Diceros bicornis minor: one gene and its partners. The protein of the gene in region 1 purifies or fractionates together with the protein of each later gene. This does not show direct contact. Links are inferred from orthologs where the notes say so. Each region holds a gene or a part of one and is shown in the gene's direction. Other genes may lie near its edges. The genes, in order: SMARCA4, CHD7 and EP300.

The links.
Region 2: the proteins of SMARCA4 (region 1) and CHD7 purify together in Homo sapiens (affinity purification with mass spectrometry; 3 studies listed by BioGRID and IntAct, with this or other methods). This does not show direct contact. The link is inferred for Diceros bicornis minor from reciprocal best matches to the Homo sapiens genes SMARCA4 and CHD7.
Region 3: the proteins of SMARCA4 (region 1) and EP300 purify together in Homo sapiens (affinity purification with western blotting; 4 studies listed by BioGRID, with this or other methods). This does not show direct contact. The link is inferred for Diceros bicornis minor from reciprocal best matches to the Homo sapiens genes SMARCA4 and EP300.

What each region holds. Positions count from the first base shown.
Region 1 is NC_080769.1:8,399,571-8,403,312, reverse strand, and holds the start of SMARCA4 (transcription activator BRG1), read left to right. Parts: upstream 1-1,439; 5' UTR 1,440-1,523; intron 1,524-3,742. UniProt on the Homo sapiens protein: ATPase involved in transcriptional activation and repression of select genes by chromatin remodeling (alteration of DNA-nucleosome topology).
Region 2 is NC_080772.1:13,785,303-13,789,044, forward strand, and holds the start of CHD7 (chromodomain-helicase-DNA-binding protein 7), read left to right. Parts: upstream 1-1,368; 5' UTR 1,369-1,653; intron 1,654-1,920; exon of another isoform or gene 1,921-1,963; intron 1,964-2,056; exon of another isoform or gene 2,057-2,127; coding exon of another isoform or gene 2,128-2,975; intron 2,976-3,016; coding exon of another isoform or gene 3,017-3,141; intron 3,142-3,742. Other genes in the region: basic proline-rich protein-like, read right to left, coding at 2,128-2,975, 3,017-3,141. UniProt on the Homo sapiens protein: ATP-dependent chromatin-remodeling factor, slides nucleosomes along DNA; nucleosome sliding requires ATP. Probable transcription regulator. May be involved in the in 45S precursor rRNA production.
Region 3 is NC_080764.1:9,285,352-9,289,093, reverse strand, and holds the start of EP300 (histone acetyltransferase p300), read left to right. Parts: upstream 1-1,283; 5' UTR 1,284-2,497; coding exon 2,498-2,591; intron 2,592-3,742. UniProt on the Homo sapiens protein: Functions as a histone acetyltransferase and regulates transcription via chromatin remodeling. Acetylates all four core histones in nucleosomes. Histone acetylation gives an epigenetic tag for transcriptional activation.

The sequences.
Region 1 (3,742 bases):
TCAAGTTTTAAATCCAGGTCTTGGACGCCTGCATGAGGTCTCACCTTCTGCTCTATACTGCAAGTGACTCACCTTGGACTTGGAAAGAGTCAACGAGCTGATGCAGGTACAGGACGCACTCAGCAGACAATCGGTCTCTATCATTCCTTCAATAAAAAAATTTCAAGTATCTAGTATGTGGTGAATGGGGGCACTACGCTAGATGCTGGTATTCCCTAGTGATTAAAACTGACAACAGCTTTGCCATTGACATTGAAGGGAGAAAGACAGTCACTCAAGAGGGTACCCAAGAAATGTGAAGGAAGGGGAAAAAGGAGGCAGTGATCAAACAGGACGCAGTGAGTCAGCTGGGACCTGAAAAATGAGGAAGGGCAGGCCCGCGAGCAGCAGGGGTAGCGACAGTCCCAGGGGGCGCGGCTGTCCGGCTGCGGGGCTAAAGATGACGCTGCGGACACTTTCAAATCACAGAGAAGAGGTTTGGAGGCTCAGGGCCTTCACACTTGCAACAAGGCTCTCTCTCGCACTGCTTTCCTGTCTAGACTCAAACGTCTTCGTCGCAGCGAGGCTCCCCTGGCTGCCCCATTTAAACCTCCCACAACCCTCACGTCCCCCTCTCAACACAACGCATTTTCCTTCTTTCTCTGGCCTGCCTCCCCCACCGGATCGTGAGCGCCGCAGCGGCTGAGGTTTTTCTGATTGCGGCCGCAGCACCTGCGCCTGGGCCACAGCAGCAGGTCCATAAATATTTGCTAAGCTAATTAATGGCATCCCGGAGGCTGTGCAGAAAAGGCGGCCGCGGTCGGGCCCCGCCTGGTCCCGCCGAATAGGCCTCAACATCCCCCACCAAGGGTGAAAGCGGCTCCCCGGCCCGCCCTGGGCCGCCCGTGCTCCTCCCCGGCCCAGCCTGCCCGCCGCCTGCCCTCGCGCCCAGCTTCCAGTCCTCACTTCCGAGCCTCAGGGCCCCTCGGCCATCCCTTCACTGCAGACCCCGCTGCCACCCAGCCCCATCCCCCAACCTCCCACCGCCACCGCCGCCGCCACACCACCGCCGCCACACCACCGCCGCAGTGCCGCCCGCTCTGCGCATGCTCCGCGGCGTGGGGACGCCCGGCGTGCGAAGGCGGAACACCCGGTGCGCAGGCGCAGGAGCATCCGGGACAGAGTCGGGAGGCGCGTCGGGCGCGCTGGCTCTCTCGGGCCCCGCCCACCTCCCCCCAGCGCCGAGCAGACGCGCACGCGCGCTGGGAGCGGAAGGGCTGGCGGGCGCGCGCACGAGGCCGGGCGGGCGGCGGAAGCGGGAGAGGCAGTCTGTGGGGGGGGAGGGGAGCCGGCGAGTGCGCGCGCAGCGGGGGCGCGGGCGGCGTGGGGGGGCGGCCGAGGCGGGCGCGCGCGCGAGGCTTACCCTCGCTCGGCGGCGGCGGCTTCTTTGTTTCGTGAGGAGACGCGAGACGCCCACTCTGCCCCTGGCCCCGCGCGGAGGGGCGGGGGCGGCGCCGGGAAGGCGACGGCGCCGGCAGCTCCCGGTAAGGAAGGCGGGCCGCGGGGGGAGCGCGGCGCGGGGCTGGGAGGGCGGTTTGAATGGAGCCGGGGCGCCGAGGGGGGAGGGGGCCGCCGGCGCCCAGAGCGGGGCCGGGGTACGGCGGCGCCCGAGGGTCAAGAAGCCTGGCCGGCACCGCGCGCGCGGGGCAGGCCACAGTGCAGCGAGGCCGCGGCGGCTGCAGTATCCGCGGGCCGGGGGGTGGGGGCCCGGGCCGCGTGGAGGCCGCGCGCCCCCCGTGCGCGCTCTCGCCGGGGGCGCCGGACAAAGCTCGCGGCCCCCTCGACTCGCCGGCCAGGGCCCAGCCCCCAGTCGCCGTCTCCGCCGCGGCTGCAACAATAGCCCGGCATCGGGGCTTTTCTGGCTACGTTGTAACGGGTCGGACCCGAACGTTGCCTTTTTGGCGAGGCCGCGATCGGGGTTCAGTAGGGAAACGCCAGACGTGTCCAGCATCAACTGGACACGAGCATGAGCTGCCCTGAAATTTTATTCTACAAAAGCCACATATTGTAGATTTTCAAGAAAAGAGAAGTAACTCCCCCAATCCCTTGCAAGAAGTGACTTCAGAATGTCTGCTCTGAAGTGGGGGGTCGGCAGCAAGTGGGGGAGGGCCGGGGGAACTGTTTGCTGTTGAAAGCATTGTTTTTAGTTTGCATCCTTTTCCCTTCCTCCCAAATGATTTTCCAGATTAAGACTGTAATTTAAAACGTGGATCTCTCGGGAGAGTGTTTTGTGCCGGTCTTCAAGACACCAGTCTTGATTTTTCTCCCCGGTGACTCCCTGGGGAAAGTAGGGAATAGTTGGAAGATCCGCTTCCTTGGAATTGGAGACAAGTTTTCAGTTTGAATTGATACCGGATTCGAGTTTGCTTCCATCACTTGGCTGTGTGACTTTAGGCAAATAGCTTAATCTCTCTGAACCTCTTGGTTTCCTGAAATGGGGATAATGCCACCAGTGGAGTTGGTGAAGGCCTGTAAAATGGTTCCTGGCAAGTGGGAAGCACCGTTGTTACTGTCTGGTCAATCTCCGTCCGTTGCTCAGCAATTATTTGTTGAGTCCCTACTGGGTGTCAGATGGTTGGGGGTTGGAGCCCTGTGGAGCCTTTCCAGTCTTGTAGGGGAACAGGCGATAGATGTGGGAACAAGTCCCCTTGGCCTATCATCTAATCCTCACAATCCTCGCTGTGAGAGGGACACAGTGGACGCCCAGGGAAGTAGTGGAACCAGAGATCAGGGAGGCTGCCTGGAAGAGGGGACCTTTGCCCAGAACCAGGGAAGATGTTCCAGCTTGTATGTGGACCACCCTGGACCACTCATTGTTCCCCTCTGCTGCACTCACACGTCGCCCTGTCCTTTCCCATGTGGAAGTTCCCCCAGTTTGTAATTACACAGCCATTCCTCTCTGAGGGCCATCAGAGCAGGGGTCAGGTCTCCCTGGCCTCCCGCAGTGTACCCTGGGCCCGGCACATGGAAGGCCCTTAGCGAACGTTGGTGCCATGAGCGAGGAGGGTCCTTGGGAGCACTGAGTGAACATGGGTGTGAAGAGCTCCATGCAGGACTGGGGCAGTGGGTTGTAAGCAATGAACGTTAGTTGCTGTTGTGGGTTTTTAACTTTCCAGGCCATTGTTTGCCAAACCTCCTTCCCCCGGGAATGGGGAGTGGGGCGGTGGTTAGTAGGAGTGGCGGTGGGGGTCCTAGTTCTAGAATCACACCTCAGGTTTACACCCAGCTCTAAATCCTGGCTTGACCTCCAGCAAGACACTTACCAGTAGGTCCCGCCATTGGTGAAACAGGTGTGACCCCCCTCAAACTATTGTGAGGGTTGAATGAGATAATCTGGAAAGTGGCTTAACACACTGCAGCGCCTGACATATAGTGAGCACTCAGTTTGTTGGAGTTAATATTGCTCATTATATGTATATATGTATGTATATTTCTAATTTTTGTTAAAATCAGTGCATACACATGGCTGGCCTGGTGGCATAGTGGTTGTTTGTGTGCTCTGCCTCAGCGGCCCGGGGTTCACTGGTTCAGATCCCAGGTGTGAACCTACACACCGCTCATCAAGCCATGCTGTGGCAGCATCCCACATACAAAATAGAGGAAGATGGGCACAGATGTTAGCTCAGGGCCAATCTTCCTCACCAAAAAAAAAAAAAATGCATACATAATTATGAAAATAATAAATGTTCCTCCATGTGCCCCC
Region 2 (3,742 bases), on another chromosome or scaffold:
ATCTTAGATAATCAAACTTAGTTATTGAATAGTTGTAGCAGTTAAACAACAAAATAGTTTTGATTAATTTTTTGTTCAAATAGAAATATTGTGATTACGGTCTTAGCACTACAGGTGGTGAGTGGGGAGAAAACATAGTTTGCATAGTTTTGCAATTTTCTTAGTTTATTTTGGAGTCCAACAATAGCAAGTGGCTTTACTCTGTGTCTATTATAGGACTATCTTTGGTTGATATAATTTCCTTCCTTGATTTAAAAAGGAATGTAATCTTTAACCTAATAAAATCACCTTAAAGTGTACAACTATTGACAGCCTAAAAGATTTGTAATTGCTCAGTGTTTTGCACATAGAAGGTGCTTGATAAATGTTTGTAGATCTGTTTCCTAAAAGGAAAACTAGTAAAAAAAAATTTCTCCATGTTTAATATTCATTTTTGCACCGGGAAGAGAAATAGAATACGAGGCTTCGATATGTAAGGCTAGGAGACCATATAAAAGTGCCATTTTGGCCAAAGAATGATTAAAACATTCTAGTCCTGACACGTTTAATAATGGGCACACAACCTATTTCTTTGTTTCATAACCATTGCGCTCTCTCCCTTTTTTGGCATGGTAACACATTCAACACAATCAACGCCATCTAGTTAAACTTTCTGATTTACTAGTGGATCCCGCTGTCCCGTCAACCAGGAGGTAGGAAAAGCGATGTGGAGAGGCCGGAGAAAACTATTTGAAATGGAGTGTGTCCACTGGAGATGACTGCATGTGGGAAAATAATTCCAAGTTGAAGGCTAATTACAGAATAGACATCCAACCGCTCGAGCCGCCGCCGTCCGCGTCGCGTTGGGACCCCCTGGCTGTGGCCGAGAGGACGGCTGCCGGCGCGGAGCCGCCGCTTCCTGCCCCGGGGCGGCGCACCCCGACTCCGGGAAGGTGCGGCGCGGGAAACGTGGCACCGCGTCCAGCCCGCGCCCGGGGCGCTGCCGCGGCGCCCGAGCGCTCGGAGAGCCCCGCCAGAGAGGCGGCGCGGCCGCGCACCGGCCGGCCGGGAGAGCCGCCCGCAGCGCCGGCGCCCGCCCGGGACGGGAAGTGGCGCCCGGCCCGCCCTCCGCAGCCCGCGGCCCCGCGCCGCCCCCTCTCCCTCGGCCTCCGCCACCCCGGCCGAATTCTTGCATAAATTATGCCAGGCGCGCCTGACGTCAGGTGGCGGCGCGCGGGCGCGGGCGCGGCGCGGAGGGAGCCGGCGGCGGGCGCGCGCGGCCCCGCGGCCTCGGGCGCGCGCGGCGTGCCGGGCGCGCGCAGGCGCTGGCGTGCTGGGCCGCGGCGGCGGCGGCGGCGGCGGCAGCGGTGGCGGCGGCGGCGGCGGCGGCGGCGGCGGCGCGGGGGTTGAGCCGTGGTAGTGCGGCCGCGCTCGTGCTCGGGAACTATCGGATTAAACTTGAATCGAGTGAAATTACACAAAGGAGCGCCGCTGAGGGGGCGGCCCGGGGACCCGGAGACCCCGAAACTCGCCAGAGCCCCGTTCGCCCCCGGCCAAGTCCGCGCCCGTGGATTCAGCCCCCTGGCCGCGGCCGCCGAGCCAACTCCGGAGCCCGCTCTGCGTTTTGTTTTCCGCTCGGCGCAGGGCGGCGGAGGAGCCCGACCGACCGACCGGGTGAGCGCGAGAGTTCGCCGGCGCCTCCGGGAGGGGCGGCGGCGGCAGGAAATCGCTCCGGGCCGGGGCCGGGGCCGCGCGCGGAGTTGGGAGCGAGGAGTTGGGCGTGTGCGGGGCGAGGGGCGCGGGCGGGCGGGGGCCCGGCCGGCGCAGGAGCGCAGCGCCGCCCGTGCCGTGTCCCGGCGTCGCCGCCCGCGGGGCCCGAACCCGCGCCCCGAGCGCCGCCCGGCGCCCCAACTTTTGCCTGCGTCCGCGGGGCCGGCGGCGGCGGCGGGGGCGCGCGGTCCGGCCGAGGGTCACTTCCTCGCATGTAAATGGCTTTTTGTTGTGCTGCCGGCGTAGGGGGGGACGGGGGACAGGAGGGAGCGTGTCTGCGCGCGGGGGAGCGCGAGCGCGTTTCCTCCCGCCGGCGCCGAGCACGAGTTGCCGGCTCCCTTCGAAAGAAAAAGGAAGGAGGAAAAGTTGGGCTGCAACTCAAGTGCGAGTGGGCGATGGGCGCGCGGGCGCGGGGCGGCTGAGCGGCGGCGGCTCGGGGACGGCGGCGACCCCCGCCTCCCGCCCCCGCCCCCCGCTCCGGACCGACCACGCCGCGCTCGCCGGGAGCGGCGGCCGCACCGGCGCGAACAAAGTGCGTCCCTCCTGGCGCGGTGGCGCCGGCCCGCGCGGGGACGGCCGCCGAGCGAGGTGGGTCGGCGGCGGGGAAAGTGCGCGGGGCGCCGCGTGGGGCGGGGGCGGCGCGAACACGCGGCGCTGGGGGCGTCCCGAGCCCGGCCGGTGCCGGCTGCGGGCGCGGAGTTGCGAGCCCGGAGCCGGGGGCTCCCGGGGCTCCCCGGCGGCTCCAAGTGCGCGAGGAGGAGAAGAAAGGGAGCGGGGCCGGGGAGAGCGCGGGGAGGCGCGGCGAGGAGGGGACCCCACCTTGCCGAGCTGGCCGGCCAACGGCGGTGGCGGCTGCATAATAACGACTTTAACCCCCCGAAGGCAATTCGGCTCCCCCACCCCCGAGGCCGCCGGGGTCAGCGCCGCGGGGGGGTCACCAGGTGGCCCCCGAGGTGGCCCGGCTGCGCTCTGCCCCCGCAGAGATCCGCCGTTCGGAGCGTGAACGGCCGAGGTGGCTGGAGGCCAAGCGGTCAGCGGGGAGAGGAAGGAGGGCGGCGGGGGACGCGTTGTTTGTTTGGTTCGCACCGGGGACTGGGCTCGCCGGGGGTGCGGGGGCGCGGGCACCCTGTGGGCTGCGGTGCGGGGTGGCTGCGTCCGCGCGGGGCGAGCGCGGCCCGGGGGAGGGGGGCGGCGGGTCCCAGGCGAGGGGTGGGGGGGTCGGGAGGCTCCGGGGAAGGAGCCGCCGGCCCCGAGCAGCCATCATTACCGAGCCGCCTTTCTCCGGATGGCTCTGCCTCGAGGAGCCCCGCGCCGTGGGAGCGCACCCCGAACTCCGGGCCGGCCGCCCGCTTTGTGAGCGCCCCCGTGGAGCGGGCGGCGCGGGGAGTGCTCCTGCAGTGGGTCGGACGGTTTTCTCAGAGGGCACTTTTAGAGACTGTTCACGCCTCGATTTTAAACTAGTTTTTTTCCCAGTCTTCTGAACAGACAATGGACAAAAGAAAAGTAGCAACCCACATGGAGAGTTTCCTTTTGAATTGCTAGAATTAGATACACTATCCAGCTCTCCACTTGCTAAGTATACTTTTTAGTTTCCCATTGTGCGTTATCTAGCAGTCGATTTAAATAACTTATCTTGAAATGTGTCCATCCTCTGGGCTTGATTTCTGGGATATATTAAATATTTTAATCTGTTTTTAAAGGATTATGAGAAGGCCCTGATTTTTATTTTCTAAAAATACTAATTTAAGTCGTCTTTGCCGTGGGCAATACCTTTCAAAGAGGTTGAGTGTATTTCCCCCGAATTCTCTCCCCATAAGGGTAGGGGGGAGTACTCCCTATACGTAATAATCAAATAGAAAAAAGAAACTTCTCTTTATTTCCTTACAGATCTATTCTAACGATGACAAAAAAATCTGACTGACTGTGACCTTAGCAGCATGGGAACCTGATTTATCACAGTTATAATTCCATTTAGATTGTAGTAATGTGGAAG
Region 3 (3,742 bases), on another chromosome or scaffold:
ATTCTCATCATTCATTTAAAAAGCCAACAACAAAAACCAAAGTAAACAATAATAAGCAAACACTAACTAAGGAGCATGAGATTTGAAATATGTTAAAAAGCTTTTAACTATCTCCATAGATACTGGATTGGGGGTTTCCTTGGGGAACACCAACAACCTTGCCACCTCCTCAAGTTGCAGTTTACCCAAGGCCAAACACAGCGGAATCCTGTAATGTGTAGGAATGTGAAAGCATGCTGCGAGGCTCTCCTCTGCAAAACCGTGTTGTCACACACATTGCACTTTATTTATATTCAAGTGTTTTTCTCCATCGTTACATTTTTGCTTTTTTCCATCCTTACATTACCTTTAGCACATTACGTTTTCGCTTTTTTCCATAATTACATTATCTTTAAGGCGCTGTCTAAACGTGGTCTTTTATTAAGCTGGTCTGTTGCGGGTGGGTGAAAAGAAATACCCTAAAATGTCCTCAGGTCCCAGACGTGTTCAGAAAAATAATTCCAGGCTCCTTTGGTGAGAGGGCTGATAGAGGCAAGTGGACCCGTGGTGGGCAAGAAACGAATTTAGGTCTGGTGCTAAAACATCTTCCCACTGCTGTGGTTTTCGTTTTCTGATTATCAAAATAATATATGCTCACTGTCAAAAAATTGTAAAATTCAGAGAAAAGGGAAACAACTCGTAATCAGCGTGATTTTTGGACGTGAACCGTTCCCTTTCGGAAAACGATGGAGGAGAGAGGACGCACTGGGTCTCTGGCCCGGAACACGGGGCGGCGGGGTACCCTCTGCCGGCTGGATTCAACCGAGGTTCGCACGACCGGCCGCCCAAGGGCCCGGGAAGCAGGGCCATCCCCACGGCGCTCTCATTCGGCCACCTGCGCGGTGACCTGGCGCCTTCCCCGGCGTCGCCCCCGAGCTCCGTCACCCCGCGGTTCCCACCGGTCCCTACGCGGAGACCCAACCCAGGCACCTTCCCCCGTAAGTGTCCACCGACTGAAAATAGATGCAAGTCCACCCCCGACCCCCCCTTCAAATCCTCCCCTTTAAAGGGAGCCACCGGGTGACGCCGGGGGAGTTTGCGGAAGCGCCAACCGCGTTGGGGCCTTGGGCGGATCCCGTGATTGCAGCTAGCCCCGCCCCCGGGTCCTCTTCCCCCATTGTGTGAGCGGCTCGGGCTCAGGCCCCGCCCCCTCGCCGCCTCCCTCCGGAGGCCCAACCCCTCCCCTTCTTTTCACCCCCCCTTGGCTCATTTCCGGCCGCCGCTGCTACCGCTAGCCTGTAAGGAGGATTCGGCAGAGGGAAGAAACAACAGCCGCCATCTTGTTTGTGTGCTAGGCTGGGGGGGAGAGAGGGCGAGAGCGAGCGGGCCAGAGTGGGCAAGCGGGACGCCGGGCTGAGTGCGAACTGCGAGAGCGAGAGTGCGGAGGGGAGCCGGGCCGGAGAGAGGCGGCAGGGGCCGAGACAGTGGCAGGGGGCCCGGGGCGCACGGGCTGAGCGACCCCCAGCCCCCTCCCGTCCGCACACACCCCCACCGCGGCCTGGGAGCCGGGCCGGCGTCGACGCCTAGGGGGGACCATTACATAACCCCGCGCCCCGCGGCGCCTTCGCCTGCCGCCGAGGGCGGCCCCGAGCGGAGCCCCGGGGGGCGGGCGCTCCCGGCACCTGGCCGCCGGGGGTGGGGGCCGTAGCGGCGGCCGTATTTATTTATTTTCCGCGGGAGAGGAGGCCGCCTGCGCCGCCCGCCGGAGCGGGGCCTCCTCGGTGGGCTCGGCGTCGGCGCGGGCGGGCGGCGCTGCTCGGCCCGGCCCCCTCGGCCCTCTGGGCCGGCGAGCTCCGCGCCCGGCGTCCTCGCCGCGCCTCCGCCGCCCGCCGCGCGATGTGAGGCGGCGGCGCCAGCCTGGCTCTCGGCTCGGGCGAGCTCTGTGCGGTCATTAGGGGCCGGTGCGGCGGCGGCGCGGAGCGCGGCGGCAGGAGGAAGGCTCGGAGGGTGGGGGCGCAGGTCCGGGAGGGGGCACCGGGAGGAGGTGAGTGTCTCTCGTCGCCTCCTCCTCTCCCCCCTTTTCGCCCCCGCCTCCTTGTGGCGATGAGAAGGAGGAGGACAGCGCCGAGGAGGAAGAGGCTGATGGCGGCGGCGGAGCTCCGAGAGACCTCGGCTGGGCAGGGGCCGGCCGTGGCGGGCCGGGGACTGCGCCTCTAGAGCCGCGAGTTCTCGGGAATTCGCCGCAGCGGCCGCGCTCGGCGGATTTGTGTTCCTGTACCCTCCTCCGGGCCTGGGCCAGGCCCGGCCCCTCGCACTTGCCCCTACCTTTCTATCGAGTCCGCATCCCTCTTCGGCCAGCGCGACCCGGCGAAGAGAAAAAGGAACTTCCCCCACCCCCATCGGGGGCCGGCGGAGCCCCCCAAGCCCACCCCAAGGAGCGGGGCGGGGACCCCGGCCTGAAGAAGAGATTGCCCGAGGATTCTCGTTTTCCTCGCCTGTATCTCCGAAAGAATTAAAAATGGCCGAGAATGTGGTGGAACCGGGGCCGCCTTCAGCCAAGCGGCCTAAACTCTCATCTCCGGCCCTCTCGGCGTCGGCCAGCGATGGCACAGGTTAGTCTCGGGAGCCCTGGCCCTCCACATCCCCCTGAATCTTTGCTGCTCGGTGCACCTTTCTTCTTCCAGATTTTCTTCCTTTCTCTCTCTTCCTAGTTCTCTGCCTCTTGATTAATTTTAAAGGTGTTTGAATGAGCTGGTCAAAGACGTCCAGTAGCCCAACCATTTTCTTTGCTTCCTAATACATTGGTTGCAACACTATGTCATATCGATGTGTGTTCTGGAATTAGAGTTCTTGAGTGGTGCTGTAGAAATGGCCTTTATTGTTGCTCCCATGGAATTTAATTTTGGAAATGCCAGTGCATTTGCGTGTAAGGGTTTTTTATGCAACCCTACTTTTAATTTGTTGATAAATGAGGAATTGCCAGTCCTTTCTCTTTGATTGCACTTATTCTGTTTTCTCTACTTTCGACTCTTCCTTTTCAAGATTTTCTCTTCTTTGCACGAGATTTTCTGCTGAGTATGAGTGTGTAAAAAATCTTGGTTTTGTTTATTTGTGTGTGTGAGATGCAGGATTTCAGGTTTGACGTGAGTTTTAACGTCAAAACTGAAATTTGATTTGAATTATTTTACCTACCGTTCCTAGCTTTTTTTTCTTTTTTTTAATCTTCTTATTTGCTTTAAGAATCAATATGGAGCGCAGTTCATTTTACATCTTCCATTTCTTTGGTATGAGACCAAAATGTCTGAAACTCTGGGTTTTTAGGGTGGGAGAGAGCAGAGGCATTTTCTTTGCAGTTTGTTGTCACTTTCTTTGGGGGGGCGCAGGAAAAATATAATCGATTTTGTGGAGTTATGTACTTGGAAATCAAGATTAGAAGTTGAAAGAGCCCCAATCATGAACTGCAAGCATGAGCTGATCATACAAAAGTTTAAAATATGCATTAGGTTTCTATTTGTGTGTTTTTGTTTTTTTACGCTTTTAAACGTATTTGGAGATCAAGATTTCAGTTTAACAAGGCTCTACAAATTCTTTGCTTCACAAAGTTGTGGACTAGCCTTTTGTCAGGAGAAAGTCTGGGAGACTTCCTTCCATCGTCCTCTTCTTACAGTTAGTTTGGTGCTATTCTGATGGCCCCCGACCTTCTCTTTTGCTGTCATAGTTGTTTGAGGTGCCAGGATAATGAAGAGGAAGAATGGCTGGCTAT